Oryzias latipes: one gene and its partners. The protein of the gene in region 1 purifies or fractionates together with the protein of each later gene. This does not show direct contact. Links are inferred from orthologs where the notes say so. Each region holds a gene or a part of one and is shown in the gene's direction. Other genes may lie near its edges.

Region 1 (3,613 bases):
AGTTCTGCGATGCCAGGATGTGGAAATGAAAAAGGAGCAAAGGAACATAATCTTCAAAATGCTGTTTTAAAAAAAAAGTTAAAGACCCACTCTGAGGATTTTTTTATGGTGTTTTAAATGTTATTGTAGCATTTTTCTAATGATGGACATATATTAAGATCATTGGGCGTAAAATTGTATCTTTGAGTATTTGTTAATTCAAATTGCTGTGAATCGGGAGCAGATGAAAAAGATGCTGTTTGAAAAAGATTGAACAGTTTTCTCCGCGTATTCGTGGAGGTTAGGGACCAGAGACTTCCGCCAATATGCTGCAATCTTAACTCATCAAAAACCCTTCTGAAACATTTCTGATACTCTGTGAAACATTTATTAAAGAACGTTGCTCAACATGGTTTTTTTAGTCATTCAGAGTAATAGACTGTACTGTAGCGTACTTTATAATGCACATTAGGAGTGCCAGTCTGTTTCTCTATGCCTAGAAAGCAGGAGCCCGTACTTCCTTAAGTGCCAAAGGGCATCTTCTTCCAGAAGAGGTTGGTTTCATCCATCATTCATTCATCCAGATGATAATTATACTTCCTCAGCGTATTAGGATATTTTCAAGCTGCTTTTGAGTCAGCTGATGCCATTGGGGCACAAACTTTGGTTATAGCGATTCTGGAACCAGCTGTTGCTCGCTGGGAAATATTCTTCCGCAGCCGGGGGGAGGCCGACTGGCCAGCTGGCTCTTCATCTCCCCGCTCCCCTCCTTAGAAATTCCCGCAGCACAAGTCTCATACAAGCATCTTGAGTTGTCTGAGCTTTTGTGACGAACCAGAGGAGTCACGTGATTAAAAAAAAAAAAAAAGGAATCTGCGAACACGTGAAACAGCGAATATTGAAACCCGAATTGGCGGAGGAACACTGTAGTTGTGATGTAGAAAATACGACTGCTCCACTTCATTCTGATGCATCCTCTTGTAGATGAATAGATCCATGTACATCTTTGTTTTCCTCGTCTGAGCTGTTATCTGGCTCAGAACTGGACATCTCCAATACTTCTCTCCCTTTGTTGTTGCACCGATCATGTTAGGTTGGGGTGAACTCCTGCCGCTCTGCTGAAACTATGTCCTAGAAAACGGCATAATCATAATGAAAAGACCACTCTCACTGGGAACGCTTTAACAACAGATTAAAAGATGATCAGAGTGGGTCTACAAGAATCTGAGTTGCAACGCTTTGCTTTGTTGGCTTAAAAGCTTTTTTCTTTTCTTGCTCTCTCTTTATAATAAAATGAAAAACTTCAGACAAATTATATAAACACTTAATAATAAATAAAAAAACATAGGTTTAGCAAACAAATACTCCAAAAAACACTGGATTTTCTCTTTAGTGAGTTCTCAAAAGTTACAAGTCTTTTTGTGAGAGAAGAAAACAGTTGAGGAGCTCTTGTCCAACCCAGTTACAAGCTTTATCTCTTCCCGTCTTATCTCCAGCTATTCGGATATATTGTGGGCAATCTTTATACGCCTGACTGAAAACATCCTGTTTTTTTTTGCTCCCTCAAAATTCTGTCGTAACATGTTTACGGTACCTTATTATACTAGGTTGGGCTTTTGATAAGAGTGTTTTTTTTTTCTGCTTGTTTTAAAGAATATTACCTATTTTATGCTCTTTTCCAAGAGATGGTGATAAAACCTGAAGAGAGTTTCAGGAAATGTGCCGTCAAGAATGTTTGCTAGATATTTTCCCTTCGCTGTCATCGTGTTCTTTCTGTGTTCCAGGCTGATCGGGGGTTCGGACTACAAGCTGATCTATAGACACTATGCCACGCTGTACTTTGTGTTTTGTGTCGACTCTTCAGAGAGCGAATTAGGCATTTTAGACTTAATCCAGGTAAAATAAATCGGACTTTCAGAAGAATGTATACTCTTTAGTTATCTTCTCTCTAACTGTTCCCTTTGTTTGTCAGGTATTTGTAGAAACGTTGGACAAATGCTTTGAAAACGTCTGTGAACTTGACTTAATTTTCCATGTAGACAAGGTAGGAAAATCTTTCACCTCTCTGTGATGTAACACGTTTATTAGACTGTTTGTTTCAGCCTACCAATCCCTTTGACCCTTTTTCTTTGTAATAATTTCCCGTAGTTATTATTGCCTGTTATTATCTGATGACTTTCTGTTTCGCAACTGCAGGAACTTTTGAGTCAACCATAAATACCATACCTGCTTTAGAGCCTCCACAAATAGAGAAACCTTTAAACCAAAATGAAGTTTAGCCTGTTTTCATTTTATTAAGGAAGTTTGAAAAAAAATGTGTTGTTTGAAACGAGCTGAAACTCAGGGAAGTCTTGTAGAAACTTTAAATGATTGATGATTTGTAATTTGGGTTTATTTCTGCAGGTCCACAATATTCTTGCTGAAATGGTGATGGGTGGAATGGTCTTAGAGACCAACATGAACGAAATCATCACACAGGTGGACGCCCAGAACAAGATGGAGAAAGCTGAGGTATGAGGTTATCTGTCACTTTGTTCTTTCCTCGGCCTCCCTGAGGAATGTTGCACAGTATGCAGGCATGTGTGTACGCTGCACTCTGCATGCTACTCTTGGTCACTCTGTGGATGCTCCCCACCTTCTCTCAAGTGTTTGTGCTCTTTTCTGGCCTCTTCTTTGACTGCTTCTATGCTCTCAACGCAGCTCAAACCTCAGTAGATCCTATACTCTAACCCAAATATACAAAAACAGATCAATTCACCTCCAGAATCAGTGACCATTAAATCCTCCTTACCATTGAATGACATTCAGCTACATACTCATCACGTTGAGGGGAAAGTTTGGAGATTTAGATTTTCTTTTCTTGAGCCGATATTTTCAAAGTCTTCGCTCAGATATCTGTGCTCTGCAAGTACATTTGTTTGTTTTCCATGCAGCTTCGGTCAGAAATCCGCTTTCATTTCTCTATTGGAAAGACAGACAGCCAGAGACAATTTCACTAAATGATGGTTTTCTTTTTCTACGCTCAGTGTGGATTAGAGCCTCTGATCGATAAACTGAGTCAAAAATATGTCCAAGCACGTTGTGTAATGTCTGCACATTCATTTTGCAAATACTTTATTTCCTGTTGAGAAACGACCCTTTACAAAATGTGTACCGTATTTTTCGGAGAATAGTTACATTTGATTTTTTATAAATCAACCGCTAGAGGGAACTGTAGGCAAGTGTGTCAGTATTTACTACTGACCGTAACACAGAAGAAACGCCGCTCAGTCTTACTCCGAGCTTGACAGATGAAGACTTTAAAGGATTTAGGGATTTAAAGTGATATAAAGGGTTTAGCTGACTTGTTGTCATGCTGCGGTTATCTTATTAATTGTTCATTTACTGCGATAATATACTAGAAACTTATTCAACTCCTCCTATGTTTTATGGAGCTAAATACGGTTATGGTAGTGAAGCGTGCACATATTCATTCTATTATTTGTTATCTCTTCCATTATTATGATTTGCCTTTCAAGATGAAATGTCCGATTTTGTTTCCGTATTTTGTTAAATAAATTCCTCCTAAAAGTGTGACTTATAGTCCAAAAAACACTGTTTTTTCTAAGCTTAAAGTCAATGTTTGTATTATTAG
Region 2 (4,403 bases), on another chromosome or scaffold:
TTAGGCGCATGTTCGCCACCTAGTGGTACGGACTGTGAATGTCGAGGGTCTAATCATATTTGTAGTATAAATCCATCTGTTTTAAGATATATTTCCTTTTTCCTTCCCCATAATTTCTCCATCTCAAAGTTTTCTAATAACCCTTTTTTACCTAAAACAACAACAACAACAACAACAACAGTAAATGTATAACTACAATCACTACTCCATATGCCATTTGTCTCCCATTTTATTTTCATCCTCAATAGTTGTACGCCCTTGTATTTGTTCAGTGTACTTCCTGCAATTTCATAATAAACGTTTCTATAGTCTGATACTCGTTGCACATTTTATAGTTAGATATTTTCCAATGATTGAATGATTGTAACTCAGTTGCATGTGGCCAAACCTGCATTCAAGTCTTTGACCCTTGCATCTAATTTTCACCATAACCCTTCCTCCTGCCTCCTCCTCCTAACTTTGATACCTTTTTTTTTCTTCAAAAATGTAAAAACAACATAAATAAAAGTAGCTATTTAATCTATAAAGCTGAGACAGATGATAGGTTTTAACTGCTGTTCTGTAGGTACTGGGTGTATATAATGTCTGATTTGAGCAATTAATTCAAAGGAATTTTGAGGTTTAAAGCCAAATGTAGTTTAATGAATGTAATATTTTGTTAATAAAATCAGGAAATGTAACCAATAAAATTGTGAAGTAACTTTTCATAATCAGTAAAACCATACAGGATCTGTTTTTCCATGTCAGGAAGAAATCGAGAAAAAATTGAGTCATTATATCATACTGACAATTACTTCCAAACTAATTTTTTGTGATCATAGGTCGAAATTAAATATATGAATGTTTCTTCACATTGTTTACAAAATCTACCCCCCCCCCATATTAATCCTTTTGTCTTTGCAATTATCTTTCGAAAATGCAGTCGTATCAAGGAAGTTTGTTGTTTTCCCTGGGTAGTGACTTGTAGGTAAGTTGTTGCTGCCATAGACAGTATGGTTCCTGCCCAACTCAGTTTAACGAGGAGCTGTAGTAGTTATAGGTGCTACTTTTTCTAATCATATACATACAATAAAATGGTGAATAAAACTTCGGAAACTTCCAAATACTGTCATTAATTGTGTTATACCATGGGGAAATGCGTACGTTTCACAACAGTACACGTTAAAATGCCATCAAAATACAAAAAATCATATTGAGTTTTCCAAATAGTTTTTCTTTAAAAATTTGTAATATTCTAACAAAACCTTTCCACACAATAATGCTGACATACAACAATGGATTAGCTATTTTAAAGAACACCGAAAACTGAATGGTCTGATGCGCGGCTTAGATCGTTGTCAAAGGTTGCCTGCAAAACTATACACCGGTTTTTTTAACCCACTGACTGACAACAATGAGAGCAAAACAGCTGTCCTCTGATTTTGCCTGATTAAAAATAAACCCACTAACTTTAAATAAAAAAATGGAGGGGAAGAATATTACACTTTATTAGATTATCGTGAATGCCACTTCAATAGCGTAAATATACCCGTTTTTCAACTATTAGTCTAGTAGCACAATTCAGTTCTTTCTGCTTACGTGTGCACATAGCTGTAGGCGTCCCCTGAGATGCCTATGAGATATACTTCCATATTGGCACCAACTGAGTATTCTTCCCTGTAGTTGAATCGAGTTTTTTCTTTTTTTAAAGCAAGTGATCTACAGCTAAAACTTTGTAAAAGCTGTAAAAATATTTCGCACTTTACATGTTGGTCTTCCTCTGACAGGATTAACGATAAGTTGGTAAGTATGATTCATATTTTTCTTTCTGTTATCTCACTCAGCACAATAAACTTTTAACTTTTCAGATAATATTTCAAAAGTCTTTTCATTTTTTTTATTTTTTACAAACTGTTTAGTTTAAGTTATTTGAATCATGTGACCGACATTGTGTAGTTATCGTGTGCCATCTGGTCTAAGAGAACCAACTCAAACAACAACGTTTCCTTCTGCAGCTGAGATGATCGACAGTCTGTTCCTGATTAACCACTCAGGAGACATTTTCCTGGAGAAACACTGGAAGAGTGTTATCAGCCGGAGTGTTTGTGATTACTTTTTCGAAGCTAAGGAAAAAGCAGTAGACCCAGAAAATGTGGCCCCTGTCCTGCAGACCCCACACCACTATCTCATCAGTATATACAGGGACAAGATCTTCTTCCTGTCTGCCATCCAGACTGAAGTGCCTCCACTTTTTGTCATCGAGTTCCTGCACAGAGTTGGAGATACATTCTTGGTAGTATTGATTTCTTACCTGAATGTCTTCTTTGTGATAAGTGTGTGCCAGATCTTAAGTGCTTCTAGTCAAGCTCTAGGAATAAGTTTCCTTCTTGCTGCACTTTCATGTAAGTATATAATATATATTAAAGATATAACTAAAAAGTCCTTTATAAGACATTCTTTGAGGCATTAGTTTGGCCAAATATAAGAATTTCAGCAGCAACCTTAACCTTGACTGCAGTTAGTATTTTGTGCTGACTTAAACCAGGGATCGTCTTTGGAATTATCATTTAAACCAATAAAAAAGTATTTTTATTTCAGACTCGAAGTGTAAATGTCAACACCATTAAAAAGAAACACAAGACATACAAAATAATTAAAATACAAGTGAATACACCAATTATAAACCTAATAAAGTGGCCAAACCAGTACCTCCAAATTGGGGACTGGTAATGCAAAGTGCTGTGCCTGATGTTGGTTAGGGTTAAAATGATTTTATTCTTGGAAGCGTTAAAGACGTTGTATAAAACCATAAATAAGATTACTTAAAAGAGCTTGGAGAGTGTTGACTCATATATCATACGTCTTTTTAATAAAATCCCATTATATACCCCATGCAGGCTAAATGGCTATGGAAGGATTTGTTAATACACGATAAAGATATTTTACTTTGTGACTTATGTTTTATTTTGTCTAAACTAAACTGTGTTTATGACGGAAATTGTCATGGGGCACTGTAAGAAATGTTGCTGAATGGGTTTCATGTTAAAAAAAGGAAGAATTGTCAGATTTCAGTTAATAGTAAATGTACCATGTGTACATGCAGGTATGGTGACAAAGCAGAAAAGGAAAAACACAAAAAATATCTTTGAAAATATTAAATTGATAGTTTTGTGTGCTTTAATGCAAATTAAAGGGATTTTATTAAATCTGCGATCCAAAGTAATATCAAAAGGCTCTTCAAGTGCTTAGAAGTACAGCACTCTCAATTGTGCTACACTCTTTCTAATAGAACACAGAACTTACGTTATTGCCCATATTGGTCTGCTGACGCTGCTCAAAGGGACAGCCACTGTTGTCCTTTCAGTAACATTTTTTTTTTTTTTTTGCAGGATTACTTTGGAGAATGTTCAGAAACTGTAATCAAGGATAATGTAGTGATTGTTTACGAGCTATTGGAGGAGATGCTCGACAACGGATTTCCGCTCGCCACCGAGTCCAATGTCCTCAAGGAGATGATAAAGCCTCCCAACATTCTGCGGTCAGTCGTCAATACACTAACAGGTAAACAAACGTCACAAGGAACATTGTGAACTTCTGGCTCTTTAAGTCACACTGAAGGGCAGCGTTAACATTACATTTCATTTGTTTTTTCCAGGAGGTAGCAATGTTGGAAACACTTTGCCAACAGGTCAGCTGTCTAATGTTCCATGGAGAAGGGCTGGTGTCAAGTACACAAACAATGAGGCATATTTTGATGTGATCGAAGAAATTGATGCAATTCTCGATAAATCAGGTACTTGAAAAGAAGAGAAGAATAAAGCAGTTGGTGGGAAATGCAGTTAAATGCACAGTAATACCGGTGACTTTGTTTACTGAACAGGGACAACAGTATTTGCAGAGATCCAGGGGGTCATTGAAGCTTGTGTGAGGCTTACCGGGATGCCGGATCTCACTTTGTCCTTCATGGTGGGCTCATTTCCCCCCATATCTGTATTTAGATCATCTGTGCACTTTTGTTCAAGTCTAAATTTTGCTCATTATTGATGTATTATTGACAGAATCCTCGTCTCCTGGATGATGTGAGCTTTCATCCCTGCGTGAGGTTCAAACGCTGGGAGTCGGAACGGGTTTTGTCTTTCATCCCTCCAGATGGAAACTTCACTCTCATGTCATATCAAGTCAGCTCTCAGAAGTAAGTGATTCATGGGGAGAGCAATGGGGTGACTAGGGCTGGCTATGGATTATGAGGAGGACTGCATATATGAAGATGTCATCCTATCCTCAGGTTATAAAAATTCAGAGCTGGATAAAAGTTTTCAACCACAAAGAAAATTACTTTCAATATACAGTTTAGCCTCTTAAAGCATAGTTTAAATTGGAGGTTGTTGCAATTAAATTTTGGCATAACTCTGTTCCTTTGTCAT
Region 3 (4,293 bases), on another chromosome or scaffold:
CCCACGTTTAAACATTTGTAGTGTCCGTTCTGCACGTCTCCAACAGTCTCAGAGAGGAAGAAGCAAACACAGATTCCATATTCTCCTTTCCAGCATTACAGCCTAATTATTTGACCACAAGCACAAACAGCCAAACAGCATGGAAGTCACTTCTGCTCACAGCCTCCTCAGTCATGGTGAGGAACTTTACACCCACGATTCCCCACTGCTTGGAGAGCAGGTTTTGGAGCGAAAAACTCAGAAAATACGTGAACGAATCAAAATGTCGCTTTGGGGTTGTTTTTTGTGAGCATTTAACATTATAATACACTGAAATACTCAAAAAGTAGATTTTTCAGGATATAGACCCTTTAAAGACTTGCTCTGATGAAAATGATATTTTCAGCGTTTTTTTTCACATATTTTTGTGGCAAATATCTGATGATAGAGGACACATACAAAGAAAATTAAAATGAAATGAGAAATTTCTATATTTAAATCTATGTGAATCAGTAGAAGACAAAAAAAATGCTGTAAAAAGATTCTAAGTGTGACGTAGAAGTTAGTGCAGCGAGCTCTCTGCTCCATTCCGATGCATCCACTTGTAGCTGCGTAGATCCGTGCACTTCTTCGTTTTCCTCGTCTGAGCCGGAATCTGGACAGCTGGATGGCCCCGATATTGCACGCCATTTTTGTTGCAGCGCTTATGTTAGGATGGGTGTGTGAGGGGTTGTGAGCTATTGGTAGAGCGTTTAAACCAGTAGTCCCGTGATGAGCTCTGCTGCCCTGCAGAAACTACGTCCCAGTGACACAAGTGTTTGTTGATTTTGTCTAAATGCGGCATAATCATTCTCATGAAAACCACTGAGAATGCTTTGAAAATAGATCAAAGGATGATCCGAGTTGGACTTTAATTGATTTTCGAGGGTTTTTATAGTTTATCGACAAACTCACACCGATGCATAAGCTGCAATAATCTTATTTTTTCCACTCGTTACACAGTTGTTCTTTCTTTGAGTCAGATTGTTAGAAGAATGTGTCTGAATTCCCTCTTTCACATCAAGAATGTGACGAATTGCACAGTGAGTAGACTGTAGGGTCACGAGAACTGGACGGCATTAAAAACTGGATAAACTTTCCCCCAGAAGACACGTCTCCTCACAGAGCGGGAAGGAGAAACCTGTGCCGTGGAAATCGACCTGTGAGTCAGTGAGGGTTGGTGTGGGGGTCAAACAAACCCTCCAGAGGAAGTGGAAGGAGGCAGGTTTTTCTGCTCCTGTTTCCTTACATTATTCCCACTACCTTTTATCTCCTGATGGAGGCCTGTCCTGCCCGCCTCTTCAGCCAAACCAGGCTTGGTATGCGCTTAGTGATTGCGCAGAGGTGGTGATGAAAAGTGGCTCCATGTTTACCCACCGGAGGAGATAAGGGCCTCCTTTTTCCCCTGGAGGGAAGTGACCACAGTCACATGTCCAGGCAGGGAGGGAGGAAGGGAGGGACGCAGGTAAGGAAGCCGGATCTCCAGAGCAGGAGGAACATCTGAATGAGCGTAGTCCAGCTGAGAGAAGGAGGTGTTGCCCTCGGGGATCAGGATGACTTGCTGTTTGTGAGTTGACAGGGTATCTTGTGACTTTTTTTTTTTTTTTTTTTTGGCAGAAGAGGAAGGGAGGAAGTGAATGACACAAATCACAGTGCAGCCTGTGCAGTTTTTGTCCTTAGTTCCCAGTTTTGAGCAGCTGTGATTGATTCGAGAAAGCGCTGGGGGAAGACGAGCTGAGCTTTCCATCCGTGGACTTCCAGCCAGCTCTTGCAGGAGAGTCGCTGCGGGGACGGCGGCTGGTATGGACCGCGGCTTCCCTTCTTTACGGTCTGAGGCGGCTGGAGCCGTCAGGACAATGCTGGCTTCTGCCGAGAGCTTACAGCTCACTCTGAAGCCTGAGCTCAGTCAGGAAGAGCAGGCCCTCACACACACCAACGGCAAACCAAAGGAGACGCACAAAGCCGGGTATTGCAGTATTTTCCTGAATGTACGAGTACTAACATCTATGCAAGCTTCTCTGCCAGAATCGTTTTCTGATAAATGAACCACGATATTGATGATTCTGGTGTGTTACTGTTTCCCTGGTGCCTTTTGGCTTAGACAGAACTGCCCTTGGGGTGGAAATGGGCTGAGAGTGAGCGAAAAATGATGCCACACAGGTGAAATGTCAAGGTCGTAGACCGATCGGTAAGGCTGTAGAGCAAAAATGTTCGTGTGCATTTTGTTTCTAAGGGGTGTGCTGCGGTAACGGGTCATAGAGAACATTTATATACCCCATAAGAGCTGCTATGGGGGAAATCGGCCGTTTGTTTGACCCCCACCAAACTTGTGCGCTGCACAAGTCGCCTGTTAGTGCTGTTCACGCAATAAGTGCGCGCTCTTTGTCCGCCTCCTCCAGTTTTGCCCATTTTTGGCTCGCAGACGGTCTCAGTCTAACCATAAGGGCAGCTGTGACTAAAACTTTTTAAATCACACCTGTATATGAAGCCACTTATTCTGCATCTTCGCCATGGCTGCTGTTTAGGACTCTACAGAGTCAATTCCATGGATGGGCAACCTGCGGCCCGTTATACTATTTAATTTATTAAATTATGCTGATAATCCTTATTAATGTTTTATTTTCCCTGCAATTCCCCATAGATGGTGGAGTACAAATATATTTACCTTTTGTTTTATCTGCAGGAAGTTGTGCTGCATCATGTAGTGTTGGCAGATTTGTTGTATTTCTGACGTTCACGTGTGTTTTTTGAGTCCGAAATGTAAATTCCAATGCCACACGAACGCAGCATTTCTCTAAGTTTGCATTTTTCTTTGAGGGACATCAACCCATTGGTGCATTTGAGACTAAAATGTGAACAAAAGCCACAAATTGTGTCTGTGTGTGTGTGGGGGGGGGCTATTAGCTATGTTTTTTAACATAGCTAATAATTTTCAATCAAAATTATTAGCTATGTTTTTTAACATAGCTAATAATTTTCAATCAAAATTACACCATGTTTTTGTCCAGATTCAATGTTTTTTTGTTTGGACACCCCTTGGAAAACTTTTTTCTAAAGACAGCCAGATTCGGGATACTTTGGGATACTTTGAGATACTTTTTATTTCCCCACATAGAACAGAAATGTCTTTAAATACATTTTTACCAAAATTACTTTCATATTTGAAAACAGGAAATAGAATAAAGAGAGAGTCTGGTTATTAAAGCCTTTTGTCAACATTAAATCTGGGTTCATATGAAGTGGTAAGCATTAGTCACTATTAAGTGCTCAATGTTCTGAATTTAAATCACGTAAAAAGCTAAATAACACAAATAGTTAACTTATTCAGAAGCACAAACCACTGCTTTCGATCATAGAATCAAATGAATCAGTTTGGCCCTTAAGGCTCTGAATGTCAAGTCGCCCCAGGTTTACAATAGTGTGGAGCGTAATTTAGCCAGAAGAAAGTGCCGGAGGGGCCCGCATATTATAGATCTTATGACAGGAGACTGTGGGCCGGTAGAAATTTGAACGAGGGCCGCATTTGGCCCCCGGGCCGGACTTTGGACATGCCCGTCAGGTGGATTACCTAAAAGCGCCACGCATCTGCTCCTGTCAAATTTTAGAACCCTTTAGTCAAAAAGTTCCCCCACCCCTGGTGGGCCTCGGAGAAACGAGGGGGTTGGAACACGGCCACTAAGGCCACCGTACACCTGGAGATGTGATGGTCACCTGTCATTTGAATGAAAAACTGTGATAACATAACTGAGAAATGTTATGCCTCAAACAAATATAGGTCTGGATGAAGTTGTCTGTGTCATAAAAATGTCATTCCGTGCTCTTGAGCAAAGCCATAAGCTGCTGTTGAAGGCATTCAGTGTCTCCTGAAGAACGAGCGCGATGTAATGCCTTAACAGAGGAGATGGTGAAGCTGTTGGGCAGGAACTCCCCGTTGCAGTCATTGTTCATTGTACCGTCCAGAGAACGGTCAAAACTGATGAGAATGTTGTCCAACCGGTTAAAACCAGAAGTGTTTGTCTGTCCTCAGGAATGAAGACCTGAAAGAGATGCTGGAGAGCAACAAGGAGTCCCTCAAACTGGAGGCCATGAAGAGGGTTGTTGGGGTGAGTGCATCATGGGAGGAAACTGATGGAACAAATGCACTGGAGCCCTGGAATGTCCTGGAATGCATGGAGACAACATTTTTTCTACATTAGAAGTCCCTGAACTCTTAATCCCTAAAACAGTTTGTGATTTGTCTTCTAAACATTTCATTAAACACTGCAAAAACTGATT

What was found.
Region 2: the proteins of ap3s1 (region 1) and AP-3 complex subunit mu-1 purify together in Homo sapiens (co-immunoprecipitation; 4 studies listed by BioGRID and IntAct, counting the BioPlex papers as one, with this or other methods). This does not show direct contact. The link is inferred for Oryzias latipes from reciprocal best matches to the Homo sapiens genes AP3S1 and AP3M1.
Region 3: the proteins of ap3s1 (region 1) and ap3b1 fractionate together in Homo sapiens (co-fractionation; 5 studies listed by BioGRID and IntAct, counting the BioPlex papers as one, with this or other methods). This does not show direct contact. The link is inferred for Oryzias latipes from reciprocal best matches to the Homo sapiens genes AP3S1 and AP3B1.

The regions. Positions count from the first base shown.
Region 1 is NC_019867.2:7,077,738-7,081,350, forward strand, and holds part of ap3s1 (AP-3 complex subunit sigma-1), read left to right. Parts: intron 1-1,763; coding exon 1,764-1,875; intron 1,876-1,951; coding exon 1,952-2,023; intron 2,024-2,382; coding exon 2,383-2,490; intron 2,491-3,613. UniProt on the Homo sapiens protein: Part of the AP-3 complex, an adaptor-related complex which is not clathrin-associated. The complex is associated with the Golgi region as well as more peripheral structures.
Region 2 is NC_019873.2:23,929,010-23,933,412, reverse strand, and holds the start of AP-3 complex subunit mu-1, read left to right. Parts: upstream 1-1,591; 5' UTR 1,592-1,782; intron 1,783-1,994; 5' UTR 1,995-1,999; coding exon 2,000-2,272; intron 2,273-3,368; coding exon 3,369-3,540; intron 3,541-3,634; coding exon 3,635-3,772; intron 3,773-3,859; coding exon 3,860-3,945; intron 3,946-4,037; coding exon 4,038-4,171; intron 4,172-4,403. UniProt on the Homo sapiens protein: Part of the AP-3 complex, an adaptor-related complex which is not clathrin-associated. The complex is associated with the Golgi region as well as more peripheral structures.
Region 3 is NC_019870.2:3,664,933-3,669,225, reverse strand, and holds the start of ap3b1 (AP-3 complex subunit beta-1), read left to right. Parts: upstream 1-1,493; 5' UTR 1,494-1,820; coding exon 1,821-1,984; intron 1,985-4,045; coding exon 4,046-4,121; intron 4,122-4,293. UniProt on the Homo sapiens protein: Subunit of non-clathrin- and clathrin-associated adaptor protein complex 3 (AP-3) that plays a role in protein sorting in the late-Golgi/trans-Golgi network (TGN) and/or endosomes.